Callithrix jacchus: one gene and its partners. The protein of the gene in region 2 interacts with the protein of the main gene of each other region in a pairwise test. Links are inferred from orthologs where the notes say so. Each region holds a gene or a part of one and is shown on either strand. Other genes may lie near its edges. The genes, in order: RAD23A, USP25, SYK, RAD23B and TNKS2.

What was found.
Region 1: the proteins of USP25 (region 2) and RAD23A interact in binary tests that used the Homo sapiens proteins (3 or more experiments, as listed by UniProt). The link is inferred for Callithrix jacchus from reciprocal best matches to the Homo sapiens genes USP25 and RAD23A.
Region 3: the proteins of USP25 (region 2) and SYK interact in binary tests that used the Homo sapiens proteins (3 or more experiments, as listed by UniProt). The link is inferred for Callithrix jacchus from reciprocal best matches to the Homo sapiens genes USP25 and SYK.
Region 4: the proteins of USP25 (region 2) and RAD23B interact in binary tests that used the Homo sapiens proteins (3 or more experiments, as listed by UniProt). The link is inferred for Callithrix jacchus from reciprocal best matches to the Homo sapiens genes USP25 and RAD23B.
Region 5: the proteins of USP25 (region 2) and TNKS2 interact in a two-hybrid assay, tested with the Homo sapiens proteins (2 studies listed by BioGRID and IntAct). The link is inferred for Callithrix jacchus from reciprocal best matches to the Homo sapiens genes USP25 and TNKS2.

The regions. Positions count from the first base shown.
Region 1 is NC_133523.1:11,771,577-11,774,298, forward strand, and holds part of RAD23A (UV excision repair protein RAD23 homolog A), read left to right. Parts: intron 1-229; coding exon 230-308; intron 309-423; coding exon 424-557; intron 558-2,722. UniProt on the Homo sapiens protein: Multiubiquitin chain receptor involved in modulation of proteasomal degradation. Binds to 'Lys-48'-linked polyubiquitin chains in a length-dependent manner and with a lower affinity to 'Lys-63'-linked polyubiquitin chains.
Region 2 is NC_133522.1:22,892,134-22,895,652, forward strand, and holds part of USP25 (ubiquitin carboxyl-terminal hydrolase 25), read left to right. Parts: intron 1-1,484; coding exon 1,485-1,608; intron 1,609-3,519. UniProt on the Homo sapiens protein: Deubiquitinating enzyme that hydrolyzes ubiquitin moieties conjugated to substrates and thus, functions in various biological processes including inflammation and immune response.
Region 3 is NC_133502.1:74,857,095-74,860,613, forward strand, and holds part of SYK (tyrosine-protein kinase SYK), read right to left. Parts: intron 2,867-3,519; coding exon 2,706-2,866; intron 1-2,705. UniProt on the Homo sapiens protein: Non-receptor tyrosine kinase which mediates signal transduction downstream of a variety of transmembrane receptors including classical immunoreceptors like the B-cell receptor (BCR).
Region 4 is NC_133502.1:155,652,832-155,656,958, forward strand, and holds the start of RAD23B (UV excision repair protein RAD23 homolog B), read left to right. Parts: upstream 1-1,325; 5' UTR 1,326-1,373; intron 1,374-1,424; exon of another isoform or gene 1,425-1,590; 5' UTR 1,591-1,693; coding exon 1,694-1,759; intron 1,760-4,127. UniProt on the Homo sapiens protein: Multiubiquitin chain receptor involved in modulation of proteasomal degradation. Binds to polyubiquitin chains.
Region 5 is NC_133513.1:84,637,631-84,641,149, forward strand, and holds part of TNKS2 (poly [ADP-ribose] polymerase tankyrase-2), read left to right. Parts: intron 1-1,003; coding exon 1,004-1,160; intron 1,161-1,993; coding exon 1,994-2,056; 3' UTR 2,057-3,519. UniProt on the Homo sapiens protein: Poly-ADP-ribosyltransferase involved in various processes such as Wnt signaling pathway, telomere length and vesicle trafficking.

The DNA of each region.
Region 1 (2,722 bases), on a different chromosome or scaffold from region 2:
AAGTCCACGGGCTTCACTGCCCTCATGGGCAGTTGGAGAGGCAAAATCTGCCCAGAAAAGCCTTTGGGTAGTGATTGCAGCCGCTAACGCTGTCCCACAGGAGGCTGGATGTGAGCGATGGGGGGGCCTCCGGAGGGCAGGGCCAACGCCTCAGCTGTGTCCTGCCAGGGCATGGAGGAGGGTGGCAACAGGAGCTCTGTGCATTAGAACTAAACAGGACCCCTGACAGGGAATTCCTGGGAGCCCCGAGCCAGAACACGGTTCTGTCCAGGAGAGCCAGGTATCCGAGCAGCCGGCCACGGAAGCAGGTGGGTGTGCACGTGCGGCATCTGCCCTCCAGGTACCTGACTCACACCACACTCCACCCCGCAGTGCTCCTGGGAGCCCAGTGCAGTGTCTGACTGCACCCCTTCCTACTACCAGCAGGAGAGAACCCCCTGGAGTTCCTGCGGGACCAGCCCCAGTTCCAGAACATGCGGCAGGTGATTCAGCAGAACCCTGCACTGCTGCCTGCTCTGCTCCAACAGCTGGGCCAGGAGAACCCTCAGCTTTTGCAGGTGTGGTCCCAGGGGCAGAGGGAACCAGGGCAGCCACCATTTCCCTTCCCTGCGGGCACCAGAGTCCATAACATACAGAAGTCGTTCTAATCCTGGAAAGCAGGACTAAGCGCATTCTTCCCCCACACCCCCATGCTTCCTGTGACCTGTCGACCCCCACGGTTTCTTAGTCTTCCGAACTGCCTTGTGAGGTGTGGGTGCTGTCAACATCACCTCCTGCAGAAGAAGACACTAGAAGCTTAGAACAGCCTGTCATTCCCAGGGCCACACAGCTGGTAGAGTGTGTGTCTGCCTGCTGCCTCAGGGTCCTGGGCTGGGGCTCTGGCTCTGGCTCCACATACAGATGGCACTACGTAAATGTCTGTAAGGTGGCATGACATCACCCAGGACAGCTGTGTCCCAGTTGGCTCTGGGACTTCTGTGCTCAGTGAGGCTCAACCTTGGCCTTTGAATGTTCACAGGAAGAGTAGGGGCGTGGGCCTCTGAGTGCAGGTTCCTCTGGGTCCTCTGTGAAGTGCCCACCTGTCTTGACCCAAGACCCTGCTGTCTGCCCCTTCTCTCATTTCTTAGCCCCTTGCCAGCTTCTCCTGCCCGGTCCTGTTCTTCATCTGCACTCAGTCCTCCCTCATAGTGTCCTGGGGCCTTCAGTCTGTATGGGGACTCCCAAATCTTTTTTTTTTTTTTAAATATATATATTTTTATAAAGATGGGGTTTCACCATGTTGGTCAGGCTGGTCTTGAACTCCTGACCTCAGGTGATCCGCCCTCCTTGGCCTCCAAAGTGCTTAGATTACAGGCGTAAGCCATCATGCCTGGCCTGAGGACCCCCAAATCTATATAACCAGCTCAAGTCTCTCTCAGTGCCATACTCCATGGTTGGCTTAATCTGTCCATCAAAGTGCTTCCCCCCACCCCCTGCCCCGAGACAGAGTCTTGCTCTGTTGCGGTGGCAGATCTTGGCCCATGGCATCCTCTGCCACCTGGATTCAAGTGATTCTCCTGCCTCAGCCTCCTGAGCAGCTGGGACTACAGGTGTGCGCTACCACACCTGGCTAATTTTTTTGTATTTTAGTAGAGATGAGGTTTCACCATGTTGGCCAGGATGGTCTTCATCTCCTGACCTCAGGATCTGCCCGCCTCAGCCTCCCAAAGTGCTGAGATTACAGGCGTGAGCCCCCGCGCCCGGCCCAGAGTGCTCTCTAGACTAGACTTCTAAGATTTTGAACAGACTTCCCCAGTTCTCCCCCATCTCTGCAAGGACCAGCCTGGGGTTGCTTCAGCCTCAGGCCGTGGGGGCCAGCTGAGGTCCCTCCCCTTGTCCTGTCTCTTCTCCCCATCCAGCCCCTCCCTGCACTCCAGCTCCCTGGCAGGCTTCTCCAGGGCCTCTGCCACTCCACAGTACCACAGTCCATTGACTGAAAAACTCTTTTCTTTTCTTTTTTTTTTTTTTTTTTTTTTGAGACGGAGTTTCACTATTGTTACCCAGGCTGGAGTGCAATGGCGCAACCTCCGCCTCCTGGGTTCAGGCAATTCTCCTGCCTCAGCCTCCTGAGTAGCTGAGACTACAGGCACGCGCCACCATGCCCAGCTAATTTTTTGTATTTTTAGTAGAGATGGTGTTTCACCATGTTGACCAGGATGGTCTCGATCTCTTGACCTCATGATCCACCCGCCTCGGCCTCCCAAAGTGCTGGGATTACCGGCTTGAGCCACTGAGCACGGCCAACACTTTCTTTAATGTGAAAATGGTCAGATGTAGACAAGAGTAGAGAGAGTTGTATCAGAGCTTCCAGATACCCAGGCTGGGCACAGTGGCGCCCACACCTGTAATCCCAGCACTTTGGGAGACCAGTGGGCAGACCAGTTGAGGTCAGGAGTTTGAGACCAGCCTGGCCAACATGGTGAAATCCTGTCTCTACTAAAAAAGTAGCTGAGCATGGTGGCAGGCCACTGTAGTCCCAGCTGTTTCGAAGGTTGAGGCATGAGAATTGCTTGAACCCAGGAGACAGAAATTGCAGTGAACCGAGATTGCCCCACTGCACCCCAGCCTGGGTGACAGAGTGAGACTCTGTCTTAAAAAGAATAGAAACGAAAACAAACAAATGAACTTCCACATACCCAAATCCAACACGCAGATGAGTTCACAGTTTTTGGTTCGGGGGAGT
Region 2 (3,519 bases):
ATGGTGGCGCGCACCTGTATTCCCAGCTACTTGGGAGGCTGAGGCAGGAGAATTGCTTGAACCCAGGAGGCGGAGGTTGCGGTGAGCCGAGATCACGCCATTGCACTCCAGCCGGGGCAACAAGAGCAAAACTCCGTCTCAAAAATAAATAAATAAATAAGTAAGTAAGTAAGTAAGTAAGTAAGTAAAAGTAAGTAAACTTATTTATCATGACACCTTCAGGTGTATAATTTGGTTTGCCATGAATGTATACATTCATTTTTGAATAATTTTACATTTAACGTTTGGGGTGTGAAATGGATTCATTTTGTGTCTAAGTACATGAATTAAGTAATTATAGAGTTTAAAATTGTGTTTCTTTACAATACTTTATTTTTTAAATTTTACATTTTCCATATTACTCTTACATGTTAGAAGGATAATTCGTTTGGAGGTAAAAGTAATTCTTTATTATATATTTTTCTCTTCCATTTTTGTTTTGTTTTGTATTTTTGAGTTGGGTCTTGCTCTGCTGCCCCGGCTGGAGTGCAGTGGTGTGATCATAGCTCACTACAGCCACTAACTTCTCAGCTCAGGAAGTCCTCCCACTTCAGCCTCCCAAGTAGCTGGTACTACAGGCATGTACTGAAAGGCCCAGCTAATTTTTTTAAATGTTTTTTTAGAGACGAGGATCTCACTATATAGGCCAGGGTGGTCTTGAACTCCTAGCCTCAACTAATCCTCTCACACCACCTCCCAAAGTGTTGGAATTACAGGCATGAGCCACTATGCCTGGCCTGTTTTCTTCCCTTTTTAAAACCTAATTTGAACTTCATAATATCTAGACTTAGTATAACACATAGGCCTAACTCCATCAGCTTTTTTATGTTTGGGGGCTTTTTGTTTTTGCTTTATTCCATTAGGTTTCCCAGATTTAGAAGCAGTCTTTCATTTTTCCACTTCCTCTATCTCCTTTAGATATTCTTATTTTTTTTTTTTACCCTTTTAACCTTTTTCTCAGTTACTACACCTGTCTGCACATAGAAAAGAACCTAAGTAGTCATTGAACAAACTAAATGATGTTTGTGATCATAAAACAAGGTAACCTGAGTTTTTACTTTACCTGTGACGTTGTGTTAAACAAGTAGGTTGCTGACTTTCACATTAGCTTCAATTTGGAGTTTAAATGGAAGTCACCAGGAATATAAATACCAAGGAAGACAGAACTACCTGAATTTATCAGTTACTGCCTCTTTTCCCAGTTTTTTGCTTAATTTGTAGCTCCTATTTTATTTTGTACTTTTAAGATACAACTGTCTCCTGGTTTTAGATGTTGCTGTTGCTAAAAAGGTGCTCTCAGGCATATATTGCATCAGATGATATTTTTTATTATAATGTAGGTACTCAAAACTGAAGCTTATACTTAAAATGTTTTATAATTGTAGCTGACTTTGTTTCTACAAAGGTGAAATACTAATGCCATATGTTTCTTTTTAATTTTTAAGTTATATAGATTCCTTGCTGTTCCTCATCTGTGCTTATCAGAATAACAAAGAACTCTTGTCTAAAGGCTTATACAGAGGACATGATGAAGAATTGATATCACATTATAGGAGAGAATGTTTACTAGTAAGTTGAATGCATATAGTATGATCTTATCATTTTGTTTTACATTGGGCAAATTTTCCAGACTCATATATAAGTGACTGACTCCATAAATTCTGATGGGATAAGAATATGGTGATGTCTATAAACTGGTTCTTTTCCCTTCAGATGGCAAAGTACCCTCAGTACTTAACTTTTTTCTCTTCATAAATCCCAAGTCCTGTAGGTGATAAATGAGAAATGTTCTTAAAATAGCATCAGATTGTTTACATTCATATATTTACATTTCTTCATCCCACTACCACTGCATTTTTTGGTGGGAGAGTAATGGATGCATATATCAGCCTTAAAAAAAGCTTTATGTAAGTCTATAAGAATATGCATGGAATGTATGAGAGTAATTTCTATTTAACTTAAAAATTGAATTTTGAGGCATAAGAATAGTATAGCTGATTTTAAACATAAATACAACAAACACTTGATGGTTCCTTTGAAACATTCAAAAAATGGTATAAAATTTCTCATCATTTTTTGTTAATAACCCAGCCACACTTGGTTATTTTTCATCGGAATTTAAATGAAACCTCATAAAGATTACTTTAATGTTCCTTTCAGGTTTTTTCATATTACATATTTATAGAGTGTCAGATTCTGAGGGATACAAACATGAGTCAGATGCACTTCCTGTCCTCAGAAAACTCAGTCTGGTAGGAAACATACAGAAATGATCGTCGTGTCTGGAATAATTGCCATTATAAGAAATATGCAAAATGATATGCCTGAAATATTTGTGAAGAACCTTAAGAGAGAAGATAAACCCTGATCTGGATCTTGATGGATAAATAGGAGTTTTATTAATGATAGAGTACGTAACAGAAAATCGAGATAAATTCATTGTGGCTAGCCAGGTTATGAGGAAGTGGGGTTAGGTGGAAGTAATGAAACTGGCAATACTTGTTGATGTCAGACGATAAAGAAACTTACAGGACATTCAAATGAATTTGCACCAGTATAAGTTTGGCATGATGAGGTTTTCAGAAAAGAATTCTGATAAAAATAATAGCATACTAGAGGCTGGATAAGAAAGAAGTAGATTGATGTCAGTAACCTTAGAGGGAAAAGTCAAGTGATGGAGGGTGAGGGCCTCAACTCAGGTAGTACAGTGGGTATGATGGTGGAGGAAATGAAATGAGGGCATGTCATAGCTGTTGGGTGAGTGGGAAGAAGGAAATGGAAGAATCAAAGCTGCCAAACTTTCTAGTTTTTCATTTAGTATTGGGTAATCTAATAGGAACAAGGCTGGCTTTGAACATGTTATATTTAAGATATTTCTAGAACAGTCTTTGATTCAGTGAATTTAACATTAAACTTATTAAATTTTATGTATCTTTTAATGCATACTTCCAAAAATTATAGTAGATACTTGAAGACTTAGCTCATTTTATTCTCTTAAACCCTATGGATGGAATATAAAATAATACCCTACTCTTAATGTAAAGAAAGTGAAAACAAGAGATTTAGCTATTTTATTCAAGATTGGTGTACTAGTCCGTTCTCATACTGCTCTAAAGATACTACACAAGATGGGGTGGTTTATAAAGGAAAGAGGTTTAATTGACTCACAGTTCCACATGGCTGGGGTGGCGTCAGCACCCATGGAGGAAGATGAAGGGGAAGCAAGGACCTTCTTCCCATGGCAGCAGGAGAGAGAAGTGCAAGCAGGGGAAATGCCAGATGCTTATAATACTGTGAGATCTTGTGAGCCTCACTCCCTGTCACAAGAACAGCATGGGGGAAACTGCCCCCGTGACCTCATTACCTCCCACCAGGTTTCTTCCTCAATACCTGGGGATTACAATTCAAGATAAGATTTGGGTGGGGACAGAAAGCCTAACCATATCAATTCGGTAATTGATTCATGGCCAAGGTGGACTT
Region 3 (3,519 bases), on a different chromosome or scaffold from region 2:
AGTAACTGCTGGGGTTTTGTTGACCCGTATTACGCACCAAACTAGTAAAATCCTCTTGATTAGTTTATGGCTTGCAATGCAAAAATAAATTTCCAACCCCCTCTGTGAAACAGTTATTCTTTATTTAAGTCTGTCATTTCATAAAAGCAAAAGCCTAGTGTGAATCCTTTTATGATCAGACGGTGACTCTCACTCTGTATATTCAGAGCCACAGAGTAGAAATAAACACACGTCCTGCAGACTGAAGAACAGAAGGGAAGGATAAGAGGGACCTGCCTGGCCTTCTCACCTGCAGAAGAATGACTCACTTGCAGAGGTCATGGTTCAGCTGTGATACAGGGATGGGAAGAGTTTGCATAGATGACTGGACATTTAGTGTATGCCGTGTATGCATCCAAGTGCAGTCAAGGCCACTGCAGGTGAATGTGCCATTCCCTGGGCGGGGATGGTTTCTTGCTGCCTTCAGGCCTCTGCTCAATGGTCTCCCTAGCAGCAAGGCCCTCCCTCCCCAGGCAGCATTTAAAAAGCCCCAGCACCCCAACCCCAGTGTCTCTATGCCCTTAAATGCAGTTCTTTCTCACTGTTCAGTGTCTTTTCTCTCACTGAAATGCAGACTCCACGAGGACAGGTGTTTGCTGACTCAATTCTCCCTTCCCGAAGTCCAGAATGGTGCCTGGCCCTTAGGGTTTCACGCAAGTACAGACTCCAGTAATGTTGGTCCCTGGACAGATAAGCTGACATGTTGATTGGAAAGTAGACATGAGCGCATTCTTTAGGAGAATCTGAATGAGAGCCCAAGAACAGTGGAAGAAAAACAGCACCTGGCTCACTGAGGATATTCAGCAGTGACCGGGATTTAGTTCTGACTCCAAAGACCCTGTGCTGTGGCTATTCATTGCAAATAAGGGACACTTTGTAAAACTCTCTGCAAATAGGGCAGATTTGGATGATTCAAAACCAGGTCTGGGATTTCCTGCAACTTTGGCCCTACCCAACAGGGGAGTATAGGACAGACTCCCGCAGTGAATCAGGAGCTGATGCACTCACACCGAGAGGGGAGCCACAGGATCTAGTGAGGGTTTACAAGAGTTCCCTGGAGACTTTGAGCTCTATTTCCCATGAAAGAAACACATCTGGACCAATGTCTAGGCAACCTGGCCTTGGGAGACATTGTATTCATGGACGCAGACCTTGCCCTGTGCTGGAAGCAGGGAAGATCTGCATTGTATTCAGTACAGTGGCAAACTACCCATACTGTACACAAGCACACATGACCATATTCAAACACTCATAGTATAACACGCCCACTACCCTTCAAAGAGGAAGGTTTACACACCCAGCAACAGCTAAGAACCCCAGCCAGATTCTGTAGGAGATGAAAGTTTGCCAAGAGGTGAAATTTCCAGGGTGTTTCCCCACATTTTCTCTGTTAAAAACACCATAAGATACCCTGACAAGGAGACTTTGCCGGTGCTCATGATGGCAAAAGAGCATGGAAGAAAGAAGGAAAGCTACACCCGTGATGACCACATATGCTGTGCTGTGCACATGGTGTGTGTTTTCATTGACTCCTCAAGACAGTCACAGACCCAGAGGAGCAGGGCCTGGGGAACGTTTCCCCATAGCCTAAGGTTCTACAAATGTCACAGGAACATGCATTCTGAAGCTGGCTCTTGCTGCCCAGGCTTAGCTCTGCTCTTTCCTCTCACTAATGCCCTACCTGATGCCAGGTCTGGGCATGGGGTGCTATGCACTGTCAGTCCATGGGTGAGCCCCGCAGGTGTGGAGGGAATACGGGAAGGTGTGGGAGTGAGCTGTGGACAATGCAAGGGAGAAAGCCATGGAAGTTATTATTTGGGAGGTTGGCAAATATAGGGTGATAACTGGGCAACTGCAATGTAAGGTGGAATAAGAACCTAGGTCAAGAGAACAACTAAGGAGGGGGCGCTGGGCAAAACTGCAGACAGTCACCGTGTCTGTACACCGAGATGCACCCTATGCCTTCCTGCCCATATGGTATGTGGAAGCCAGGACTCAGGACCTCCCATCGCCCCCCCAAGACTCCTTCCCCCAAATAGTGATGCTTTAGAGGGGGGCAGTGATATCTCTGTGCAGATAATAAAAGCATATTTCTAAAAAAAAAAAAAAAAAAAAAAAAAGAGATGGCCCCCTCTAAGGCCTGCGAGTACTCCAAGGAGGGCTGGGAGTACGTGAAGGCACGCACCAAGTAGCGAGCCAGCTGGCCGCCCGCCCCGGCCAGAACGGACAGGGCTGCCACCAGCCTAGGACCCCACTCCTAGAGCAGCTCCCCGCCTTTCCGGCCCAATAAAGGACTTCGCTGCGCAGTGTGGGGGCGGGGGGCGGGGTCCACGCCGCTGCTTTCCGCAATGGCCTCGGGCTAGCGCGTGGACCCGCACATGTGGCAGAGCCGGTATGGGCCCGCCTTGGTGAGATTGTGAAGCATGAAGGCACCCGGACCCTCTGGAGTGGCCTCCCTGCTACCCTGGTGATAACTGTGCCAGCTACTGCCATCTACTTCACTGCTTATGGCCAACTCAAGGCCTTCCTGTGAGGTCGAGCCCTGACAATGACAATATATGGCCCCTTCCCAGGGTCATGTGAGGCCAGTCATGGGGAAGGTGAACTATTCTCAATTGTCCACATAGGTCTGGTGGCAGGAGGTGAGGGGAAGGCAGAATACTCACAGGAACTTCCCGTTTGTCTTTGATCCTATCAAGACAATTTGCTCAGATTCTTCCCGAGTGATTCTTCCATGGAACCAAGGCATTTTTTCATGGGCTGTGGTGGCGATCAGCTTCTCCAGCTGAGGTTTCTGACTGATGATGGCCTGCTCCAGAGCCTGACCCTGCAGTGTGGAGAGCAGAGCAGAGTAAACCATACTGAGGAAAAATGAAAATGACGCAGAAGGCATTTCCAACTTATCTCAAGTCCTAGCATGGTAAAACGAGATCAAACCTTATTCACTCATTCATTCAATAAATAAAACCAGAAAGACCTTTACACATTACTTAAGTACTTTCAAGTGTATAAATAAAAAGAATATGGCTGGGCACAGTGGCTTGTGCTTGCAATCCAGCACTTCGGGAGACCAAGGAGGGTGGATCACTTGAGGTCAGGAGTTTGAGACCAGCCTGGCCAGCATGGTGAAACCCTGTCTCTACTAAAAATACAAAAATTAGCCAGGTGCAGTGGCACATGCCTGTAATTCCATCTACTCAGGAGGCTGAGGAAGGAGAATTACTTGAACCTTCCAGGAAGTGGAGGTTGCTGTGAGCTGAGATCATGCCACTGAACTCCAGCCTGGGCAGCAGAGTCAGACTCTGTCTCAAAAAAATAAAAACACAGGCTGAGGTGGGTGGATCACGAGGTCAAGAGATCGAGACCATCCTGGTCAACATGATGAAACCCCGTCTCTACTAAAAAAATACAAAAAATTAGCTGGGCATGGTGGCGTGTGCCTGTAATCCCAGCTACTCAGGAGGCTGAGGCAGGAGAATT
Region 4 (4,127 bases), on a different chromosome or scaffold from region 2:
ATTTGCTGTGCACCTGCAGTGTGCCAGCCATGTTCATGGGTGGATAAAGTAAAATCTTTGCCTCTGTGCAGTGCAGCTTCAGTCTGGGGTTTACAGGAAAGGAAGAAAGATGAGAAACAAGAGATACATACATTACACGGTAATTAAAAGGGGATACCCGCTATGGAAGAAAACAGCACAATAACAGAGATAGGAAGTTGCGATTTTAAGGCAGCCAGCGCAGACCTCACCAAGAAGGCAACATCAATTTAAAGAGGGGAGCCGCGACCGCAAGTGCAAAGGAAGGCCCTAAGGCGGGGGCAGCCTAGACTCCACCAGTGGGGAGAGTAAGGCAACGCGGGGAAAGGTGAGGGGCTAATGCGTCCGTTCTAAGAACTCTGACTTTAACTCGGGGCTAGACGGGGAACCACTGGACAGTTCTGCCCCAAGGTGTGACCTTTGTTTTATTTTATTTTTTTTAATTACTATCATTATTTGAGACGGAGTCTCACTGTCACCCAGGTTGGAGTGCAATGGCGCGATCTCGCCTCACTTCAACCTCCGCCTCCAGGGTTCAAGCGGTTCTCCTGCCTCAGCCTCCTGAGTAGCTGGGACTACAGGCGCCCGCTAATGTTTGTATTTTTAGTAGAGACGGGGGTTTCACCACGTTGGCCAGGATGGTCTCGAACTCCCGACCTCAGGTAATCCGTCCGCGTCGGCTTCCCAAAGTGCTGGGATTACAGGCGTGAGCCACCACGCCCAGCCGACTTTCGTTCTAAATCGGCCCATCTGTTTAGGCCCAATGTCCCAAGCCTAGCGAGAGAAAACAAAATTTGAACACGGGCAGTCCGGCTCAGGAGCCTGTGGTGGCGGGATTAAAGAATGAGTCTACATCCCAGGGCTGAGTCCCGCAGCGAGCCCCCGGCGGGTGCTGGCCCCTAGCTGTGGTTACCGCCATCCTTTCACTTAAACTCCGCCCCATTACTCCCCGACTCCAGGGCTCCGCATCCACTCGGCCGATTCTCCACGTAGCGCTTCCCGGGCTACAGATTGCGTAACTTCGGCAGCCGGGCGGAGTCTGGAAAGAGGCGGAGGGGCGGCGGACTGAGAGAATGCTCCTGTAATAGCTGCGAAGAGGAAGCCCAGAGAGCCCCGGCCGCCGACTGAACGCCGCTCCTGCGCAATCCGGGTCCAGGCCGCCGACATTCCAGAGCCGCCTTCCGCCCCGCCCCCAATTCCGGGGTGGAGTCCTCTGCCGCGCCTGCGCAAAGCGTCGCCGCAACCCCCCTCACGCCTGCGCGCTTCGCCCGCCCGGCCCCATCCCCCCCAGGGTTTTTCGGGTGGGGGAGGGGGACGTCTCGGCGAGTCACGATGATGGCGGCCACCATCCTGTGGTGAGCTAGCGGATTCCTTGCTTGCCTCGCAGAGCCCCTCGCGCCTCCTGCAGACTCAGTGGCTGGCGCCCGGCGCGTGAGGAGGCACGGCGGCCCGAGCTCGCGGGGAAGGCCGCAGTCGCGGAAGCAGCGGCGCGGGCCGCAGCACGGGCTGGGGGAGAGGCCGCTCCGCTGGGCGAATGTGACAAGCCCCCACCCCCACCGTCTTCCTCCCCAGAGCGCGAGGAGCGCGGGCGACCCCGGGGCCCCGCCAGGCCACAGACCCCGCCCAGCGGTCAGCACCCGGCGCAGGCCCGGCAGCAGAGCTGCGCGGCGGCACCATGCAGGTCACCCTGAAGACCCTCCAGCAGCAGACCTTCAAGATAGACATCGACCCCGAGGAGACGGTATGCACGCGGACCGGGGGCGGGGGCAGCCGCGTGCGGGCCGGGGGGAGCGACAGGATCCGGGAGTGGAGCCGGGCGGCGCGCTTCAGCGGGGGAAGCCCCGGAGGGTGCGGTGAGGGCCCTGCGTCTCGGTCTCGGCCCGTGCCCTGCCGGCGTGCGGCAGAGCCGACCCTCCTGGCTTGGCCGGGGGCTTTGTGGCAGAATAGGGAAGTAGTGACCGGACGCCGAAGGCCTGGTTGGGCAGATGGCGTGGAGCGCACGCCCGCGGGCCCGGGCCTAGGAGCTTGTGCTAGCAGGGCCGGAGGGGGATGGGGAGGTCCAGGCAGCTTCGGCCGTGGTGCCTGGCTTTCTGGTGTGGGTGCACAGGTGGGGGAGGAAGACGTAGGCGTCGCCACTACTTGTGTGTGGACCTGGTTAGGCGCTTAGATCCCAGAGTTGGTAACCCGAGAAGATGAGCTTTAAGGAAAAAAAAAAAAAAAAGCATCAGGTTTCGTCTATCACCGAGTGAGAGGTGTGCGGTGGTGAAAATGAATTTGTCCCTTTACCTCCAGAATTGTTAACCCTTTTATTTGTAAGTGAATTGTTCTGCTGCCTTCCTCCCGCCACCCAACCCACACCCCGTGTAGATTGCACTTTGAGGCTTCTTTGGTGGTGAAGGTTTTAGCAGTAGAGGCCTTCAAATCCATTCCAAGCTCAAACTGAACTTCAGATGTAACGGGTTCTCTGCTTTATCTTGGAATTGTTAGGAGTTGTAACCCTTCACCCACACTCCCCAGGCCCCCAAACAGTAGATGTTCAAGGGGGAAAAAAGAAAAAAAAAAAAACAACTTTGAATCCCTCCTGCAGTTAGTCTTAAACATTTCGGAAGTCCACGTTATACATTTTTCTGTGTTTGTGACTGCATAAAGAGACACTGTTGAGGTCGACACAGCTTTGTGCCAAGAATCTAATAATGCCGTGAGTGTAAATTTACTGCTTATGTTCTGGAATACACCGCTAAGATTGTCATAAGACTAAGTGTAAACCAGCAGTTTCCTGCCCAACTCTATTTTTTAAAGTAGTTTTTTCTATTTTGGGTGGAGATCAGGGGCTTTGGTGTTAATTAAGTAGAACCTGAGTTCCATTTGTGGTTTTGTAACTTACTTGCCATGACCTTGGGCAAATTACGCTTAGTTTCATCCTCTGTACCGTAGGGATAATAGCTGCCTTGCGGAGATGTGAGGATTAAATGGTACATATTTACTTGATGGTCAGTAAATGGAATTGATTAAACAGTGGATTCTTTTGAATGGAGGACACAACAGCGTTACGTTGTACTTATTTAATCTTAAGTTTTGCACATCTTTAATTGTTTAAGAAACAAGGAGAGTTCCCCCAACTTTTTTGCGATTTTTGTACAAAATTATTCGATTTCAAAATATTTATATGTAGATGTATGCTGTGTGATTAACTTCTTAAAGGTACAGGACATATCAGTTACACATGAAAAGCTTTTCTGTGTCCTCAGAAGTAATTGACAACACCCTGTGGACTGACAGTACTAACAGAATCAAATTCCTCTTGAATATTTCTTTACTGCTTAATATGCGTTAATAAGTTGAAGGGTGAAAGTTACAATGGGGTTTGTTTGATGATTTCAGGCAAACTACGTAAAATGCCTATTTGCTTTTGGTTCTTTGTGGTAACAAATGATGGTGCCCCAATAACTTAATCAGCTTATAATACTCAGTTTAATTTCAGAATTATTCAAACCTAAAGAAATATTGTGGCTTTTTGGTAAATATTTGTGGGTGTATTGAAGTTATGCAGTGACTCTTTTAACAGCTCCACTAAAGTATTTATGTTCTTTAAGATTTGTTTAGCGTTTTTTAGGCACTTTTCACATACAGTGTTAACTGAGAGCCAATGCAGTATCTGAATTTGTACAGATTCTTATATTTATTTATTTTTCCATTCCCCACCCAACTTGTACAAATTCTTAACTATTTTTGCTATTTTCCAGTTTATTTCCAAGGAAAAGCAGTATGTTATACTTTTAGAAATAATATTTTTGAAAAGCTCATTTGTAGGGAGTGGCTTCTACAGCTTTTGCTATTTATATAAATATACTTTTGTTGCTATTAGTATAAAAAAACTAATATTGTTAGTCTGAGGCAAGAAATTAAAGCATTTCCTCTGATATATGGAATGTTTGCATTTAATGACTTGTCAGTTTTTATTTTAATGACTTTAGGAAATTTTTTCAAGACAACTGTTTCAATTCTATGTAGTGGGTTTTAATTAATATTTGTTTTTGATACGACACCCCAGACTTGCAGTAAGAAAAGAAATAGTGAAAATTTTATTTAATGGGGCAACACTAAGTGTC
Region 5 (3,519 bases), on a different chromosome or scaffold from region 2:
CTCTCTTCTTTGGAAGATAGAACCACCAACTAGTCTACCAAAATCTCCTGTTATCTTCTAAAAAGAAACAGTGACGCAATACCAAAAGGTTGTTTGAAACTAAGAAAGGCCAATCACATGCCTGAGAGAAGTGGGAGGGTAATCTACTGAAATTGGTCGGAAGGAGAGACCTATCTAAGGAAGTAACATTTCAGCTGAAGTCTGAGAATTGAGTGGGTGTCAGCGAGTGGAAGAGTGGTAAAATAGATACCATTCCAATGGTGGTGAAAATTATATGGATGGGGACCATTAGTAAAGGAAGTTTGGCCTTTGTGAAGAAAAGAAAAAAACTAATGTGCATGGGGCATAATGAACATAAAATGAGATCAGAGAAACTGGAGCCACTGTGCAGAATTTGGATTTTCTCTGAAGTACAGTGAGCAGCCTCTAAAAGGTTTTAAGCAGAAAAGTGACTTGATCTAATTTTTATTTATTTTAATTACATGAATGGGAAAGATATGGACAGGAATTGGAGTAGAAACAGAAGACTGTTTTAGAAGCCATTGTATGATAGTCCAGGGAAAAATTTCAGTGATTAGACATAATGGTGACAGTAGAATTAAGAAAAGTAAATGGATTTCAAATATATTTTGAAGGTAAAATCAACTTAATTAGATATGTGTCCAACTTTGCAAGCCACTTGATGGAAGGTCCTTAAGCCCTCTTCCCACTTGCCCAGTGACTCGTGTGTTTGCTAAGATATAAACAAGGTGGTAGAGTCTGCATCTCTATAGGGTTATTACAATTTTTAAGGTAGTTAAAATAAGGACTAAGGTGACAAATTATTTCATTAATAAGAGTAGTAGAAGAAATTCTTAAAAAGTTCTTTTAGGGGTGAAATGATAAAAACAATCATAAATATTTATGTATAAATAAATTTGTAAAACTTATGCCATGCCCACAGATTGTCATATTTATGTGTCAAATTTGCCTTCAGGGTGATCTTTTCCTTTTCATGTTATAGGCAGCTGCTCTTTTGCCGGGTAACCTTGGGAAAGTCTTTCCTGCAGTTCAGTGCAATGAAAATGGCACATTCTCCTCCAGGTCATCACTCAGTCACTGGTAGACCCAGTGTAAATGGCCTAGCATTAGCTGAATATGTTATTTACAGAGGAGAACAGGTAATACAGTTTTATTTGTTTATCTTCAAAAATGCTGGAGAGGCATACTTTAACTTTTTACTAATCCCTTGAATTGACAAGACATATTATTGCCTTAAGAACTGGATTTTTTTTTAATTTTATTTGGAAATAATTTCAGACTTGAAAAGTTACAAAAATAGTAAAGAGAATCCCCTAATAACCTTTACCTAGATTTCCTAAATGTTAATATTTTATCATTCTCTTTTTTTCTCCTTTATCATTCTTCCTTCCCTGTTTATGTATACATATTTTTTTGTGAACTGTTTGAGAGTAATTTGCAGGGCATGCCCCTTTACCATTAACTGCTTCCATGTAAATTTCCTAAAAACAAGAATATTCCCTTATATTTATCAAAATCAGGAAAATGCCATCGAGGTAATTATATCTGACCTACAGACTTTATTCAAATTTTGTCAATTGTACCGGATTATTTTAGCTCTTATAAATGATTGAAATCTTGTATTTAACAGTTAGCCTGTCTGTAGCAAAGAAGTATATAATTGTGTCTTGCTGTCAGTGGCATAGATCCAGCCAAAAGTAGATCTAGAGCAGTGTTCTGAATTGCGGGTAGGTATTGGAATCACCTCAGTTACTAAAATCAGACATGAACTTAGTATTCATCCTAGACTCACTGATTGAAAATCGAAAGGATTGTAGTCAGGATAAAGATGTTTTGAGAAAATGTCCCTAGATGATTCTGATCTACAACACTAATTTAGAGCCTCCTCCCTAACGTTAGGAATACTTACAGGAAGTCTATTTGTCTTTCAAGAAAATTTGTGTACCGTTATTTGAATTTCTTTCTCTTCCAGGCTTATCCTGAGTATTTAATTACTTACCAGATTATGAGACCTGAAGGTATGGTTGATGGATAAATAGTTGTTTTAAGAAACTAATTCCACTGAACCTAAAATCATCAAAGCAGCAGTGGCCTCTTAAGTTTTACTCCTTTGCTGAAAAAAAAAAAATCATCTTGCCCCACAAGCCTATAGCAAAAGGATAAAAATGTGAAAGAAGTTTAACATTCTGACTTGATAAAGCTTTAATAATGTACAGTGTTTTCTAAATATTTTCTGTTTTTCAGCACTTTAACAGATGCCATTCCAGGTTAAACTGGGTTTGTCTGTACTAAATTATAAACAGAGTTAACTTGAACCTTTTATACATTATTCATTGATTCTAACAGAAACTGTAATGCCCTCAACAGCTCGTTTTACTAATACAGTACTGTGTTCTTTAAAACACAGCATTTACACTGAATGCAATTTCATTTGTAAAACTGTAAATAAGAGCTTTTGTACTAGCCCAATATTTATTTACATTGCTTTGTAATATAAATCTGTTTTAGAACTGCAGCGGTTTACAAAGTTTTTTCATATGTATTGTTCATCTGTACTTCATCTTGCATCATCATGATTGAGTGATCTTTACATTTGATTCCAGACGACGCTATGTTGAGTTGTTAGTTGGGAAAGATTGATTTATCAGATTTAATTTGCTGATGGGAGCTTTTATCTGTCATTAGAAATCTTTCTCATAGAACTTATGAATATGCTGAAGATTTAATTTGTGATACTTTTGTATGTATAAGACACATTCCAAAGAGCTCTAACTATGATAGGTCCGATTACTAAAGAAGCTTCTCTACTGGCCTCAATTTCTGGTTTCATGTTGGAAAATTTTCTAAAGTCATTCTGTGAAAATTAGAGCAAAGTGCTCCTGTTTTTTAGAGAAACTAAATCTTGCTGTTAAATAATTACTGTGTTCTTTTCATGGAACTTAAGTAAAATGTTACATTTCAAGGTGGGGAAGGATAATCCTAAATCATTTCCCAATGTATTCTAATTACCTTAAATCTAAAGGGAAAAAAATAGCCAACAAGACTGGGTAGTTTTTTATCGTAAGTATTTTTTTTTCCATTCTTTTTTACTTGGTTTTATTGCTATGTTTATGGCCAAACTATACATCATGGGCAAACTCAACCCAGAACTATAAACTGTAGTTGTCTCAGTCCCTCCAGGCTTCCTGAATGGGCTAGTACAGTGAAACAGGTGCTACTTGCTCCTGGGTTGCCTCTCCATGATGTTACGCCCAATTGGAAATACACTCTCAGTTTGTACACCATATGCTGACTAGGCCTGTGTTCAGTTTGGCAGCTATAGAAGGAAATGCTCCCATAAAATGCCATTCCTATTTTCTAATATAAAACTCTTTTCCAGGAAGCACGCTTAAGCATCTTGTTACAGAGACGTATATGCATTACGGCTTGGTGGTCTATTTTATTTGTTGACTGTAGCTCCCTCCAAAGTCGAGGAAAGATCTTTACTCACTTAGTAAG